Danio rerio: one gene and its partners. The protein of the gene in region 1 interacts with the protein of each later gene in a pairwise test. Links are inferred from orthologs where the notes say so. Each region holds a gene or a part of one and is shown in the gene's direction. Other genes may lie near its edges.

What was found.
Region 2: the proteins of erlin1 (region 1) and fa2h interact in binary tests that used the Homo sapiens proteins (3 or more experiments, as listed by UniProt). The two-hybrid records come from large-scale screens. The link is inferred for Danio rerio from reciprocal best matches to the Homo sapiens genes ERLIN1 and FA2H.
Region 3: the proteins of erlin1 (region 1) and sec22a interact in binary tests that used the Homo sapiens proteins (3 or more experiments, as listed by UniProt). The two-hybrid records come from large-scale screens. The link is inferred for Danio rerio from reciprocal best matches to the Homo sapiens genes ERLIN1 and SEC22A.

The regions. Positions count from the first base shown.
Region 1 is NC_133188.1:27,926,412-27,931,941, reverse strand, and holds part of erlin1 (erlin-1), read left to right. Parts: intron 1-859; coding exon 860-941; intron 942-2,123; coding exon 2,124-2,170; intron 2,171-2,305; coding exon 2,306-2,367; intron 2,368-3,618; coding exon 3,619-3,744; intron 3,745-3,908; coding exon 3,909-3,982; intron 3,983-4,060; coding exon 4,061-4,119; intron 4,120-5,530. UniProt on the Homo sapiens protein: Component of the ERLIN1/ERLIN2 complex which mediates the endoplasmic reticulum-associated degradation (ERAD) of inositol 1,4,5-trisphosphate receptors (IP3Rs).
Region 2 is NC_133200.1:14,542,705-14,548,334, reverse strand, and holds the start of fa2h (fatty acid 2-hydroxylase), read left to right. Parts: upstream 1-2,308; 5' UTR 2,309-2,373; coding exon 2,374-2,670; intron 2,671-5,630. UniProt on the Homo sapiens protein: Catalyzes the hydroxylation of free fatty acids at the C-2 position to produce 2-hydroxy fatty acids, which are building blocks of sphingolipids and glycosphingolipids common in neural tissue and epidermis.
Region 3 is NC_133184.1:39,560,391-39,565,953, forward strand, and holds the start of sec22a (vesicle-trafficking protein SEC22a), read left to right. Parts: upstream 1-1,852; 5' UTR 1,853-2,002; exon of another isoform or gene 2,003-2,006; intron 2,007-2,453; 5' UTR 2,454-2,476; coding exon 2,477-2,658; intron 2,659-5,391; coding exon 5,392-5,555; intron 5,556-5,563. UniProt on the Homo sapiens protein: May be involved in vesicle transport between the ER and the Golgi complex.

The DNA.
Region 1 (5,530 bases):
TGTAAATTACTCTAATCCTCTTCAAATGAACTATTTCTTGCAAAAATTATGTATTTAAAATAAAGTTGCCAGATTTTATAGAATTAGTCTTCTTTCTTTTTAAGGAGAGTCTGATTTTCTCCAGTTACAAATGTTATTTCATTACAACCGTCATTAGATGTATATATGTAAAGCAGCTTTCTGTTTCCAGTTTAATGATATTGACCTTGCTAGTAGACAGACAAATGGAACTATTTTGTTCTGTCTTGTTTTTAGCTATCTAGAAATCAGAAATTTCTAGAACTGCGATACAGGGATCTGGATCTATTGGATTTTGACCTATTTTTGAGATTGTTAGAAAAATATTTTCCCAGTTAGATGATAATTTTGGGCAGCTCCAGAACATGAGCCAGGGATGCCGGTTCTAGCTCACACCGATTAGATGCAGGGTCCACTTCTGAAAATGTCTTACTAGTTTTTTTTTTTTTTGTTCGGATCAATGTGGGGACATAATATTTTGACGTGTTTTCGTGTATGTGTGTAGTGTGTATATGCGTGTGCTGGATTATGAAGACACCAAATTGTAAAATGACATGGGTAAGGTGGTTTATAAAGACACCCCTTGTGCCCAAATAATTCAAAATGTGTGCATTTTGAATATATAATGAAAGTCAGTAGTTATTAGCAGTCTTCAAAATAACTTAATTTTTGTTCAGGAAAAAAATAAAGTTTTGCAGGTTTGAAATGACATGGGGATGAGTAAATGATGACCCAATTTTAATTTTGGGGTGAATTATCATCTTTATTCTAACAATTTTTACAACACTATGCACATGAAGATAACATTGCTGCCATATTTATAATGTTTTTTTTTTGACAGAGGAGGAGCTTTGTTGACCTCTCCAAATGGCCCAGGTTACCATATAATGCTGCCTTTCATCACTTCTTATAGATCAGTGCAGGTACGACTGTCATTTATTTATCATTTGGTCTAATTATGAAGGAATTATGGCTTTGTTTAAAGCTGTAAATTGATGCTAATTTTATATTAATTTATTTATAAGGTTATCTAATATTTTGCAATTAGCAGATGCTTTTATTTAAAGAAACTCATTTTAACTGAGCCAAAGATATTTATAAGGGCTTTTCACACTGTGCTTACACCTTATATGGCAAAAGACCATTTCACACTTTTTATTTAGTATAGCAGTACTTCTAAGCCAAGTTAGTTCTGCATTTACACTGTCAACCACCTCATTGTGGTGCCAAAATTAATTTATAAAATAATATAGTGTTCAAATACTACAGCTAAATGCACAGTAACCGACATCCTATCATGTGACTCCTATTCACATGCTTTGGAAAGTCACAAAAGCAATGTGTGTTGTATAGTCTTGCATTTTCAAGGAAAGATGTGAAGCTGTGATGGAAAATCACAACTGGAGTCAAGGAGAAACCAGTATTCCATTTATTTTCTGAAAAGTTAATTAAGGAAAAAACTGATAGTTGTTGTCAACATATAATTAGGATGCAAATGTAAAAGGATGTGTGGATGTAAAACGGACATGTGCCTCATTTATGCAGTCAATGACACTGCAAATATGCAAATCATTGATCTTATCCCAGGATTTAGGAATTTACAGTGTGAAACATTAGTGTATGAATAATACGCAGTATGAGTTGTTAATCCTAAGTAAATTATGAGAAGTGTAAATTGTGCCACAAGATAACTTAAGATTGTGTTTATCTGGGGTTTGGAATTTAAAGGGGTAATTCACCTTAAAATGAGAATGTACTCACTGTTTACTCACACTCAAGAGGCTCCAAACCTTTTTGAGTTTTATTTTTTCTGTTAAACCTAAAATAAGATATTTTGAAGAATGTTAGTAACCACTAACCATTGACCTGCATCGGAAAAACAAATACTATGGACATCAATGGCTGCAGGTTTCCAACATTTTACAAAGTATAATCTTTTGTGATCAACAGAAAAAAGTAACTCAAGCAGGTTTATGAGGGCTGAGGAAAATGATGACAGCTTGAGTTTTATAGTTTTGGGTGAACCATCCTTTTATGTGTGAATACCAGGATTATTAGAAATGTTTGTTGAAGACACTGATCTTTTTTCCCCTTCATCTTTATAGACAACTCTGCAAACAGATGAAATAAAAAATGTGCCTTGTGGAACTAGGTAAACTTTTCTGTTGTTATTTAATTGAACAGGTCTTAAAACAACTGCTTAAAATGGAAAAGTAATGTCATAATTGTGTATAGGATATTTTCTAGTACTCCAGAATGAACAATTTCTCTGTTGTCTCGTCCACAGTGGGGGTGTAATGATCTATTTTGACAGAATTGAAGTGGTCAACATGCTCATTCCAACCTCAGGTAAGACTCTTAACAAGAGAGTTTACACAACAAGGGATGGTCCGTCTTTATTTTTTCCACCTTCAATCTTTTTTTCCAAACCTGTATAACTAGCTCGGTTTTCATTTGCCTGTTTTTATGCACATTTTGGAATATTACATGAAAAATGCATAATGAAAACATAAAGATGTGAACACAATTTTTAAATGCACTAAAAACATACGTGCACATCTGAGTAGGATAAACGTTTTATTCAGCAAGACTAGATGATGAAAACAATAAATTCCAGCAGGTGCAACAGATTATGTGATAACAAAAAATGGGCAGGATGAAACAACATTTATGGACCAACCAGCAGACCATCTGAAATGTTGTTTTGGTCATTTTAAAATCCCTTAGCCAAAGTCTGTCTTTAAAGTGGTTCAGTACACTGCAAAAAAAAGCTTTTCTTTCAACAATGTTTCTTATATTCTTTGTCTTGTTTCTAGTCCAAACGGGGTGAGTAATGTTGTTTTTCCCTTTTACAAATGATTATTTTGCTTACCCCATTTAAGCTAGAAATATGATGATATGTTTTGCTTGTTTTAAAAATGCTTTTTGATTTTAAGAAATTTTAAATATTTTGACAATAACACAAAAAATCTTAAGAAAAGCCTTTTTTTGTTGGGTATTATTACCTCCCAGTCTTGAGCGGCTGCACTCCTAAAGAGTGGTTCCGTGCCTCCAAAAGCCACACGTTCATTCCATTCTTTTCAGTTTTTGTCATTGTTTATCTTCATAGGTGCAAGTAATTTATTATATAAGAAAAAGGCATGAGTCTAATTAGAAGTCAGTAGCTGTTTTCATCCAAAGATGCTGTCTGTAGAATGCTCTGTTTACATATACTATTAAGAAGTGCTTTCATCAATCCAATCAGAAGCAGATGACACTAAATATAGGTGTAAACTGAGTTGAGGGCCACTTCCAGAGGTAGTCAAAAAATGCATTAGATTGATTGCTTTCACAAAATAACACTTATACTTTATGGTTGAATCCAATCTAACAGCCACACTAGCACATTGTCTACAAACGTGAAATGATGAGTAAATAAAGTATCTATATGTCACTGTATTGTACAAAAACACATGGTTTATAATCAGTCATTCACATCCTATTCATTTTCTTACATTTCCACTCACCATAAACTGTAATATGTAATATTTTTTCAGTTAACTCAACTGACCACTTTCCAATGCCTAAATTAGATCATACATTTGTCCTCTTCCTTCACAGTGGTGGATATAGTGAGGAATTACACTGCAGATTATGACAAGACGCTAATCTTCAATAAAATTCACCATGAGTTAAACCAGTTCTGCAGTGTGCACACACTACAGGAAGTCTACATTGAGCTGTTCGGTAAGTCACCGATAAGTCAAACAGTTTATTCTGCTAAGTGTACTGAACTTTCTGTTGTTTATGTGAGCCCTGTTTCTGTTGTGTCACTGGTTTCATATTTGGCGCCTTTTTACTTGATGAACATTGGTCTTGAACTGGCATTTGTGTTGTTTGTTTTATGACAGACATAATTGATGAGAACTTGAAGACTGCACTACAGAAGGACTTGAATTGTATGGCCCCTGGTCTCACCATTCAGGTATCATTTTTTTTTATATTGCTATTTTTTAATAAGGTTTTAGTTTTGATTTATTTAATTCTGTGTTAACATTTGCAGGCCGTGAGAGTCACCAAACCTAAAATTCCAGAGGCAATCAGAAGAAATTATGAGCTCATGTGAGTTCATATATTGTTCTGTCCATATTACATATTTGTTAAGTCTTTTTAAATCACACTTTTATTTGAAAAATATTTTGATAACATTTAATATACATTATGCATAAAAAGTTTTTATGCTAAATAAAAAGAAGTTTCTCATTGCTCGTCAAAAATGTAGTTGAAAAGAGAATATTGTGAAATATTAAAGTTTAAAATAATATTGGTAAGACATTTTTATATGTTTTTTTTTGTTCTTGTGATTTTTCAGCAACTATTTGTTCTGTTCTCAGTGTCACACAATCCCTAAAAAGTCATTCTAATAGGCTATTTTGATTTTTAAGGAAGATTTAATTATTATTTATTAACAAACAGTATCATTATCAATGTTGAAAATAGTGTTTTCACAATTTTTAAATAGTTTTTCATAGGAACTAATTAGGGATGCTCAAAATAATCGATTAACCGTTAACCGAAAGGGTGCGTTTGTTATCGATTAATGCTATCAGTTAAACGATTAAAATTATTATTTTATATAGTTTTAGTTTGGCTGCATAAGGGGCCGATTGAATGCGCCTTTGCGTTAAGAGGAGCATCTTTTGTGCGCGGCTCATCCCAGAGCAGCAGTTTGTGTTGTCAAGACAACTAGAGAGAACTTTTAAAGAGCTTGGTTTCCGCTACATTCATTCTTCCATGGCGGGGACCATAATGCTTCCCGCCACAGCTACATACCCATTCAAAACATTCAGTTATAGTTGTTTTTGTTTTTAATAGCGGATTATAATCGCATCAAAACGTATTAAAAGGAAAGTGAATTATAACAGCGCAAACTTCTCTGTAACCGTATAGTGCTGTGCGCTATCTGTTTAATCCTTTGGCGTTACGTGCTGACTGACTGACTGACAGGTGCATGATGCGTGAGGACAGCAAACACGCCGAAGCTTTCAGTTAAGATGAACACTGTTTCTATAGTTATACTTTATTTATAGATAAAGTATGACTCTGCATATAATCACTCTATCATGCTGGAGTTTATAGCCGTTTCGCTTTACTTCAGGATGCATTAACACCGCTCTGAAGGTCTAATCGCTGTTTTAAGTTATCCAGAGCTGTATGAATGTACAAATCTTCAATATCACAATATTATCAAATATAAAAATTGTAACAACATAGACAGCAACACTTTTGCTCAATCGATACCCAGCTGATTCAGTCGTTTCATAAGAGGGCTGCACTTCTCTTCTTTTTTCCTTGTCAACATAAAGGCAGTAAGGTGCGCCTCGCGTTTTTGGAATGAAAAAAGCATGTTAGCTGTGGTTGGCCACTTGTTCAACTGCAAGAAATAGGCCTACTTAACTTGCGGGACGATAACGTATAACCCGTGCCTACAGACACATTTGCCAAAGAAGCAAAATGGAAGAAGAATATTGCT
Region 2 (5,630 bases), on another chromosome or scaffold:
CACAGCGGAATGAACCGCCAACTTATCCAGCTTATGTTTTACGCAGCGGATGCCCTTCCAGCAGCAATCCATGGGAAACATACACTCTCACATTCACACACATACACTAAGGACAATTTAGCTCGCCCAATTCACCTATACAGCACATGTCTTGTGCAGAAAACTAAAGCACCCGGAGGAAACCCACATGAACACGAGGAGAACATGCAAACTCCCCACAGATATGCCAAGTGACCCAGCCAAGGCTCGAACCAGAGACCTTCTTGCTGTGAGGCAACATCACCGCCTGTTTTAAAATATAACTTTAAAAAACATTTTACAGTATTATTTTAGTTTTCTACTTTAAAATTTCACATTTAATGTAATACGCTTTTAAAATTTATTAGCAATTTCTGAGTGTAAATGATATCTACAACAAGTATTGTTCAGTTAACAATAATAATAATAAGTATTCAGTCACTGCTTTATATGTATGCTTATTAATCGATGTTAATGCTCTGTTCTTGCTGTTTTTATGTTCAAGTGTGTTTGATTTAAATAGTGGTACCTCATATTTGACAGTAACTAATGAACATTTTAATCTGTTCATTAAAAAAAAAAAAAAACAATCATGACAGATGACGGAATTCATGCAGAAAAACTATATTACCCATGATGCTGTTAGACAAATCTACCAATAAGGGACTTCAAGCCACCCACTCCCAACAAGCATTGTACAACGATAGAGTCGGTTTCGCTTAAATATTCCTGAATTTGCAAATTTTGCAATAAAGTTCATATATATATATATATAAATTCCATAATTATTTGGACATCAACACAATTCTACAATTTTTGACTCTATACACCAACACAATGGACTTGAAATGAAACGAACAAGATGTACTTATACTGCAGACTCTCAGCTTTAATGTGAGGGTATTTACATCCAAATCAGGTGAACGCTGTAGGAATTACAACAGTTTGCATGTGTGCCTCCCACTTGTTAAGGGTCCAAAGGTAATTAAGCAGAATAATAATCATAAATTAAGCTTTCACTTTTTAATACTTGGTTGCAAATCCTTTGACATCAGACGTTGGGTTTCATTCCTGGTGGTGCTCTGCCAGGACTCTACAGCAACTGTCTTCAGTTCCTGCTTGTTCTTGGGGCATTTTCCCTTCAGCTTTGCCTTCAAAAAGTAAAATGCATGCTTAATCGGATTCAGTCAGGTGATTGACAAGGCCATTGCATAACATTCAACTTCTTTGCCTTCAAAACCTATTTGATTGCTTTTCCAGCATTCAAATGCTTTTTCTGGGTCATTCTCCATCTGCACTGTGAAGCACCATCCAATGAGTTCTAAAGCATTTGGTTAATATGAGCAAAAAATATTGCCTGAAACACTTCAGAATTCATCCTGCTGCTTTTTTCAGCAGTCAAATCATAAATAAATACAAAAGAACCAGTTCATAGCTTATAACAAGAAAACCATTTATTTGAATAGGAAACTAATTTAGAAAAATGAGACGGGCTCTACCCTACTCATATATACAGGCAATCATATAAGATCTATTGAATCTTATTATACACATCACATTATGTGAATATAATCTAAATTACAGAAAATGTCAATCTGACCTGCAACAATTTCTAGTGAACTAGAATGCTGGTGTTACCTCTTTTTTCCTGTTAGACCTTTAAGTATGTTAAGTAACATGTTATACTATTGTAATAACCAGCATTTTCGTTGGCATTATCATTTTAAACCCAAGCTTTACTACAAAAACTATAGATAACTGGTCAGCGAAGAAAAAACAATACAAAAACACATTTGTATCCTACTAAAACCATAATAGTCATCAGAGTGAAAAACTAGCATTAAAAGTTATAAAAAACGTCTTTCTGAGCAATAACTCGAGTTAAATTAAAACATAGGAAATCTTTGACTTATCAAGTCACGTCTCACAGAACCATAAAACGCTATTGACAATATCTGAGTCGCACCCAGTGTGCAAACACAACGACCGGCTTATGTCACCAACAACGCCCACAAAGAGGAAGTGCACCCAGCAAGTATCGATAGCTAACGTTACGTGAGAACTCAACTTTTCACATCATTTAAAATTAATACAAAACATAAACACAAAACGTGAAACCTAAACTATGACAAAACGACACAAACACAAAAGGAGCATCGTTTTGTCAGTACACAGTACCGCGGCGCGCGCGCAACAGGTGCTTGAACAGGACGTAAATGCGTCATGAATTATTCATGAGCAGGCTGGGTATGAACTCTGCTCAAAGCTAAAGTTGAAAGTCAGTAGTTGTAGTCCACGAGCGCTGGGGTCCACCTGCGTGCCTGCTGTTCTCTCTCCTCTTGTGGACACCCCTAAATGAGTACCAAAATGTCGCCCTCGTTGTCCCCTCGTTTCTTTTCCGAAAAGGAGGTAGCCAAACATTGCACCAAGGATTCGTGCTGGGTGTTGTTAGGGACGCGCGTCTACGATGTGACGGCGTTCCTGCGGATGCACCCCGGCGGAGAGGCGCTCATCCTCCGCCGCTCGGGGAAGGACATCAGCCTGGAGATCGAGGGACCCCCGCACCGGCACTCGGAGAACGCCCGGAGGTGGATGGAGCAGTACTACATCGGGGAACTCGACAGAGACAGCACGGATGAAGACACGGAGGAGGTGAGTCCTGAAGTAACAAGATAAAGTCGCTCGAATTATCACAAGCATCGTTGTTTTGAGGAAGTTTAACTTTACGAGAGGTCACATCTTAAGACGGCAATGATTCGTTCAGGAAATGCATTGCTCCACATAAACAGAGCAAGAAAGGTGATTTCTTCTGAAGGGAATACATTTTTTGGTACTTTTTTAAAGTGCTGTCAGATTTATGTTAGAAACTTTATTCTTTTAAAGAGACCCAAATATGTAAATTGTCATCAATTAATCACCATTTACTTATTTCAAACCGTTATCAGTTCGTTTCTTCTGTTAAACACAAAGGAACATATTTTGAAAAAACGTTGGGAACCTGTAACCACTGACTTCCATAGTATTTGTTTTCCTACTATGGAAGTCAATGGTTACCGGTTTTTCAGCTTTCTTCAGGATATCTTTTGTTTTCAGCTGAAGAAAGAAACTTATATTAGAAGCACTTGAGGATGAGTAAATAGTGAGTACATTTATATTTTTAGGTGAAATATCTGAATTTGTGGTACTTGTTTGTTCATGATTCGGGCCTGTTTGAGCAGTACTCAAGTCACTAACTCACTGAATCAATAAATTAAATATTGACTTAATTTTTTCATCTTTATTAAAATATATAAAAAAATAATCAGATGATCATATAAAAATAATCATATGAATCACATGTATTTACTAATTTTAATCCTCCGTTTGAAAAAATATATTTAGTGTGAATTAGTTATTATTTTGGTTCTAAATGACTAAATAAAGGCAAAAATGCCAATCATTAAATCATGATAAACTTTATTATTTATTTAGCCATGTCAGGGAAATATGCTTGTACTTTGTTTTATGTTTTATTTCTGGCATAAGTCACATGCAGTGTTATATATTTCCCCCAGTAAATAGAAAAATAAGCTAGTGTTGTCTGAAAATAATTTAACAAAAATTTAAATCGTAGTATTTCATCATTATTATTATTATTGTTATTATTTCTGTGCATATTAACTACAGCAATATACACAGTAAAAAATAACTACTACATTTTCTGTTAAATGAACCATGTTCTAAAATTGATCTTAAAGGTTTAGATCACCCACAAATTTTATCATTTTAACCATTTTTCATGTGATTTAAGGCATTTATGAGCTTTTTTCTTAAAAAAAGAAAAAAAAAAAAAAAGAAAAATTGAGGAATGCTGGTTGCTGGAATCCATCAACTCCCATAGTAGGAAAAGAAAAGAATATGAAAGTCAATGAGTGCAGCAACCAGCATTTTCCAAAATATTCTCTGTGTTCATCAAAAGATAGAAACTCAAATAGGTTTTGAACAAGTGAAGAATGAGTAAACGATTAAGAAAAGTTTTATTTTTGGGTGAACTATCCCTTTAATTAAGAATTGATTGATTAAGAGTACATTTTAACATGCAGGACAAAAAATGAACTGCAATTTTATATGTAAAAATATAATATACAAAAAGTGTACTGGTAATTTAATTTACTTAACTGCTTTTTTTAAACAATACTGTGCATAACTACCGCGATATACTCAGTAAAAATCACTAGTACATTTTTTTATGAATAAATAAATCATGATTTAAAATTGCTCTTAAAGGTTTAGATCACCCAAAAATGTAAATTATTTAACCTCTCTCTCTCTCTCGTGGTTTTAAACCTTTATGAGCTTCTTTCTTCTTTTAAACACACCAAAAAAGAAAAAGTTTGATGAATGCTGGTTGCTGGAACCCATCGACTTCCATAGTAAGAAAAGAAAGGTCTATGAAAGTCAATGAGTGCAGCAACCAGCATTTTTCTTAATATCCTCTGCGTTCAACAAAAGATATAAACTCAAATAGGTTTTGAAAAAGTGAAGAATGAATGAACGATTCAGAAAAGTAAAATTTTTGGGTGAACTATCCTTCTAATTATGTATTGATTGATTAGGAGTACATTTAAAAGGAAAAAAATGAAATGCAGTTTTTTATACAGTGCTCAGCATAATCGAGTACACCCTATTTTGAAAATGAATGTTTTTATCCATTTCTCAGTGAATATATAGGCAATATATTTTGGTGCATTTAAACAAAACAGATTTCTTAAACAGATAATTCAGCCTAATTTCACAAGGAAACTTAAGTATTTTACGTTTTGTCAGTTTAAAGGCTAATTCGTACAAAAATGTAAGATTTTAAAAAAGGTGGCACCCCCACCTCTAACTGTCATCGATTGATGAGCAAATCGTACTAAATTGTATGAATTAGATTAGAAATTAGCCAATAAATCAAAAAGTTAAAAAATGCTGTGAGATTGCGTTGGATATTTTTAATCAAATAATATTTTAGTGACCAAACATATTTAGAGATTAAAAGATAATACAATTAAATTAAAGCAAAATATTGCAAATAAAAAAATTAAAACCTACAAAATTCAACTAAATTAACAAAGTTTTTTGCTTCTCTTGATTTTTCCTTTTCTTAAAATTGTATTTAATATTTTTCTGACATAAATTTAAGTGTACTTGTTTTTGACCTTTATCGTAAATTATTTTGTTAGATAAGTTCCAGCACTGACTAATCTATATGTATATACACAATATTGTATAGCTAAGAATTTAAAAGGCTAGATTTGTGAGGTGTGTACTTATAAATACTAAGCACTGTATATATAAAATGTACAGTAAGTTTACTGGTAATTTTATTTTATTATATATATATTTTTTGCAGTTATAATATTAAATACCAGCACATGTAAAGATGTTTGAAGAGAAGTAAATAATGTGTGAATGCATTCTTAGGAAATTGTACCAGTAAAATAGTCAGCAATTGCCATGAGATTATGTTGCATAAATCACATGACACGTCGTTGTGTCGGAGAACATGCGATAAAAGCGATTCTTATCACACTGAATCAATTCTTCGATTTAACAATGGTTAAATGGCAAAGCTTGCAGTGAATTCAAAG
Region 3 (5,563 bases), on another chromosome or scaffold:
TTGAAATGTGCATGATGTAAAGTGTATCTGGATGTGAAGAATTATAAGATAAATCACTGAATCACATTAATGTTTCTACTCTCTGTTAAGATATGCCATCCAAATGAACAGTTGTTACTGTATGTGATTTAGTCCATAAGAATAAATATATTTTTGAACCACAAAGAATATGATTTATTTATTATTACATTAACTACAACTGTTTATTTCCTATTTGTGGATTAATGTTTAGATTAATTGTTGGAAAATCAAGGGCAAATCAGAAAAATCAGTCAGGTCTGTACACGCATCACACCTTCATCATAGTACTATTTAATATACATTCGGTGACATTATTAAACAATAATTTTTCTATGGGAACATTATGGTTAGCTTATAAAAATAGTTTAGAATATTCTTTATCAAATATATTTTTTATTGGATAATGCATCACGGTGGCGCAGTGGGTAGCACGATCACCTCACGGCAAGAAAGTCGCTGGATCGAGCCTCAGCTGGATTAGTTGGCATTTCTGTGTGGAGTTTGCATGTTCTTCCTGTGTTTGTGTGGGTTTCCTCCGGGTGCTCCAGTTTCCCCCACAAGTCCAAAGACATGCGCTATAGGTGAATTTTGGTAGGCTAAATTGTCCGTATAATGTATGTGTGTAAATGAGTGTGTATGGATGTTTCCCAGTAATGGGTTGCAACTGGAAGGGCATCCGCTGTGTAAAACATAAGCTGGAATAGTTAGCGGTTAAATCCGCTGTGGTGACCCCAAAGTTCCCAAAGGTCAGAGCCGAAAAGAATATGAATGAATGAATAATACTATTATTTTTCAGCTGGACTGTGGGTGCACGATCATCTAACCTGCCACAGCTGAAATCTACCCGCGTTTGGGGGTTTGCGGGTGTTAATGTCAAGCCCCGAGTATAATCATGAGGAAAGCAACTAAAATCGAGGATAATCTTAAAATACATCTGTATAATATTCAGGAATCTTAGGGTTTTTATTTATTATTCTTAATAAGATGAAGTGATTTTAGGAGAAAGTTGAATTTTATTCTAATGAGCAAAGGAAGGGTAATTTTATGCAAATTTCTGTTTGTGAATGAAAAATTAGCCATATAGGTTTAAAAAGTTATGTGTTCCAGGGGTTTATCTTTTGGGTTATTATGATAAAAAATAATATCTTTTAGACTAAAGCAATTGGACAATCAAAAACATATGTACTGTCTCCTCTGCTTGTTTGCAGAAAGAACAGGAGCTGTCAATGTCCAAAAATTTAAAAATACTAGAACTTACAGGATAAATTGTGTAAAATTGTAAAATGCATTTATTTTGCCTTGTTGGACATGCAATATTTCCCAGGTAAAAGCCTGGTTCTAGTCCAGACTATAAACTCAATGAAGGTCCTCCATATATCTTTCTTCTAGAAGAAATGTGCCTTTTAAATAGATAAATTTGACACACAAACTTATTGTTAAATTCCTTATCTAACAGACTAAAAGGAGAATGAATATCCACTAAGTCGGTTAGTTCTACAGTGACTTTTAACTAGGTGAAATAAACCAGGTGAAATTGCTTAAACCACTTTATTAAATTCTTTAGGATGAGCTGGGAAACTGATATGTTATAAATTGTTCATAACAAAAACAAATTTCTTGCATCATCAAACAAGCAAAGGATACAATTAATATTATTTTAAATCCACCTATGGAAAAATGATTTGTTTCTGATTGTAATATCTCGGTTATTCCATAAAAAACATCGGTGGATTACAGTGGCCCACAAATAATCCTTTACCTCACCGAGACCGTCACAGAGCCGAATGTTTTCCGAAAATATACGAAGAGAAACCGGGACTGTGCCGAAGTTGTTACGAGTTTAGCCGAAGCTGTGTCGTACGTAAGCAAAAACCGTCCGCTATGAGACCCGCAGGAAGAGCTCAACGATCAAGATAGTATATCAACAAAATAACTCAAAAGGGTTATAATGTCTTAATATATTTTTAATCGGCTCATGTCAGTAGGTATGTACACTGAAAGACTGTGTTAATGCTTGCAATAAGTGTCGCTTAGTGTCTAGTTAAGTATCTTGCTATGGTAGCAGTACAGCCATATAACGCTACTGCACATCATTGTAAATCAATGCGATGAATAGTTTTAAAGAATAGCTTGACCTTAAAATATTATAAGCCTGTATTATTGTAGATATGGGGTTCTGTAGCGCATAAGACAATCACCAAACGTGATATGATGACAATAAGTCAGCAAACATGCTAATATTATTAGCTTAGCACAGTGTGCACCAGATGTCATGAGTCCACGTACATAGAGCTGAATGATATTATAGAATTCGTAAAATATGTCTAGATTTTGTATGTAATTTTTTAGATTATTCTAGCTAGCAGAAAACTAAGAGGGTGGTAAATGGGCCATTATATGCAGTGAATGCCCTAAATATCCTGTTCTTCCAGGTGTCAACTGAGCTTTCTGTAAGATGTCTATGGTCCTGTTTGCCTCAGTGGTGAGAGTGAGGGACGGTTTGCCTCTCTCAGCCTCCACAGACTATGAACTGGATAAAGGAATTCAGGAGACAAAGAAACATCTCAAGGTCCTGTCCAAAAAACTCAGCCAGTTTCCTGATCGCTGCTCACTCAGATCTGGACTATACAATATCAAGTGAGTTTTGCATGTAGTGGCATTTCACCTTCTAAATGTAATTTCATAATTACAAAGTATTCTTTGCAAATTCCAAATAGGGAAAATCATATTAGCAGCCAGTGACTATCAAAGTACTACATCGTTCACAGTCAATTAAATAGTGCTAATGTTGATTTGTCATACTTTTGAAGTCATCAGTGGCCCTAAGCAATTACAGGTATGGGGCCCTAGCATTGAAACTCAAATCACTTACTTTCTCTATACTGTAGATATTTTTTTTTCACTGTAGAGTCACAAACAGCAAGCTCGCAAACTATGTACAGTTAAGGAGCCATATTTGTGATTAGATTTTAATATTTGCATGTGCGGAACGGAAGGAACATTCCACTATTTATGGTGGCCCTTAGTAGTAATAATGTCAATCTTGTAATGGTTGTAGACAGATTTTACCACATATGATAAAAAACTTATAAAAAAGCTTAATGAGCAATATAGGCTTCTTCGCATTGGTCAAGTCCCCTTAATTCCCTGGGCCCCTAAGCGGCTGCTTACCCCTCTCATTGGTTAAGTCCGATCCTGGAAGTCATACATGCGATTTCAGAATTCAGACCGAATATTCAAACTAGTATGTTAAACAATATACAGACCTTCCATACAGAAAAGTGTGTTCATCAGCTTTTTAGTTACAGTTAGTAACAATATAATGTGTGGTGCTCATAACAGTACATCATAATAATTAACCGCTATTAGCCTATTTAAATTCTGCTTTACTATTTAATTGAACGCGAATGTCTGAATGTGTGAATATAAAAACAACTTCCCCCAAATGGCTATGCTATACCACATTTACACCATAGATGTCCAGTGTGAAAACCAACTGTGATGTTTGCACTGGAAAAACATAGACTTTAAAGGGACTGTTCAGCCAAAAATGAAAATCATTTACTCACACTCCACTTGTTCTAAACTTGTTCGAGTTTCCTTCTTTTGTCACTAAATAAGATATTTTGAAGAATGCTGGAATGCAGCAGCCATATAATTCCTTTTTTTTTTTGTTCCTACTATAGATGTCAATGGATGAGTTTCCAACATTCTTCAGATTTTTTTGTTTTGTGTGGGCTGCAAGATGGATAGAAAGTCTTAAAATGTCTCAAAAATAAATTTTAGGCCTTAAAAAGTCTTAAATCTACTTAAATCTTTAATTTATTTATCAGGTCTTCATTTTCCTTTGTTTATGTGTAGCTATCCAATCTGACCAACACCATACAATCATCAACAATCCATCTCAATTAAATATTTAACTTTTTTACTTAGAAATTTTAACTCCATTTACCATAATGGTGTAATAATTGTTCTTACAGTAACATTTGTTTAAAGTTCTCTATGTATTCACTGCTGAGGATACTGACCTGACCTTTATTTTTAATTATTAAATTATTATTATAATTTTTACTATATTATTAAATGTGTTCAATTATTTTTTGATTAGGTAAATACATTTTTTTCCAACTGGGATATAGGTCTAAATTTATTTTATAATGGTCTTCAAAGTGTCTTTAAAATTCTTAAATTTATCGTAGTGTAACCTGCAGAAACCCTCAGATATTCTGACTCTGTTTGGCTGTTGTTTTAATCTTTATTTTTGCATTTTTTTTATTTTTTCCTATACCTGTATAAGGTCATATGGGCACATAGAGGTAACACCGACACTACTGAAACTCATTTTGACTTGTTTTAAGGACATTACATCAAAGTTGGATCAGTCTGTTGAGTGTTTTACTACTACAAGTTTAAATGTGACTCAAAATCCAGACCTCCATGGGTTAATAAAAAGGATTTCCATTGATAATCTTTTTGTGATTTTTATTGTCAGCACATTCAACTATGTAAATAACAAAGTATTTAATAAGAATATAGTCAGATCTAGGATGTGTTTTTTAGTGTTCCCTTTATTTTTTTAACAGTGTATATTGCATATACTATAAATTTTGCAATATATTGTGCAGCCTTAGTTAGAAATAAACAGAAAACTATAGCTAGGCATGCTTTTTATCTATTTTATTGCTATTGATTGATGGTAGCTGTAATGTTTAGTGGAAGAAACAAAAAGGCAGACTTGTTTGTTAAAATGCTAGGGCAAGTAGCCTAAACGATGGCGGATATTTCATATTTGGATGACCATTCCTTTAATTAAAACATCCCAGCTAAAACAAATCACAGTGGGGTGCTGTGCACTGGTTGCCAACTGTTCTGATGCAAAATTAAAAGTTCCCCTTCAGCAAGGTCTAATTCAGATGCATTACACTGACGGACCCAGGGGTGACCATTTCATAGCCTGGCTGCTATTCATCAGTCCACACTTCACAAGCAGGCAGAAACAAGTCCGATCTCTCTCTGGACTGACTCAGTGGATCGTTTCATCTCTCAAATAGACGTTAACATGGAGAGACACACTGACAAAGTTTCTTCTTTCCTGAGGGCGAGTTACTAAACTGTTCAGATTCAAAGCAGGTGTAAAACAGAGGGTGATGGGGGATTTTTATACACAATGGTTATTTGAATGCGAAGGTCATTGGAATGGACTTTCTTGACCTTGCCCGTCCTGTCTGGGAATGACAGATGTCATGTTTTTACATGTTTTGCTTCCCAGAGCTGTCAGTGTGTCAACTTATTCATCTTCTATATTGAATACTAAATGAAAATTGACTGTAGAAGTATGATGTAAACTGTGACATGTCTTGTTTTCCACAGCTTCACAAGCTCTCTCGGAGTTGGGTACTTGATGGTTTGCACAGAGAACTATCCCAATGTCCTGGCCTTCAGCTTCTTAGATGAGCTTCAGAGAGAGTTCATAGTCACGTATGACACCAAGCGGATCAACAGTGCTTTGAGGCCTTTCTCTTTCATTGAGTTTGGTGAGTTT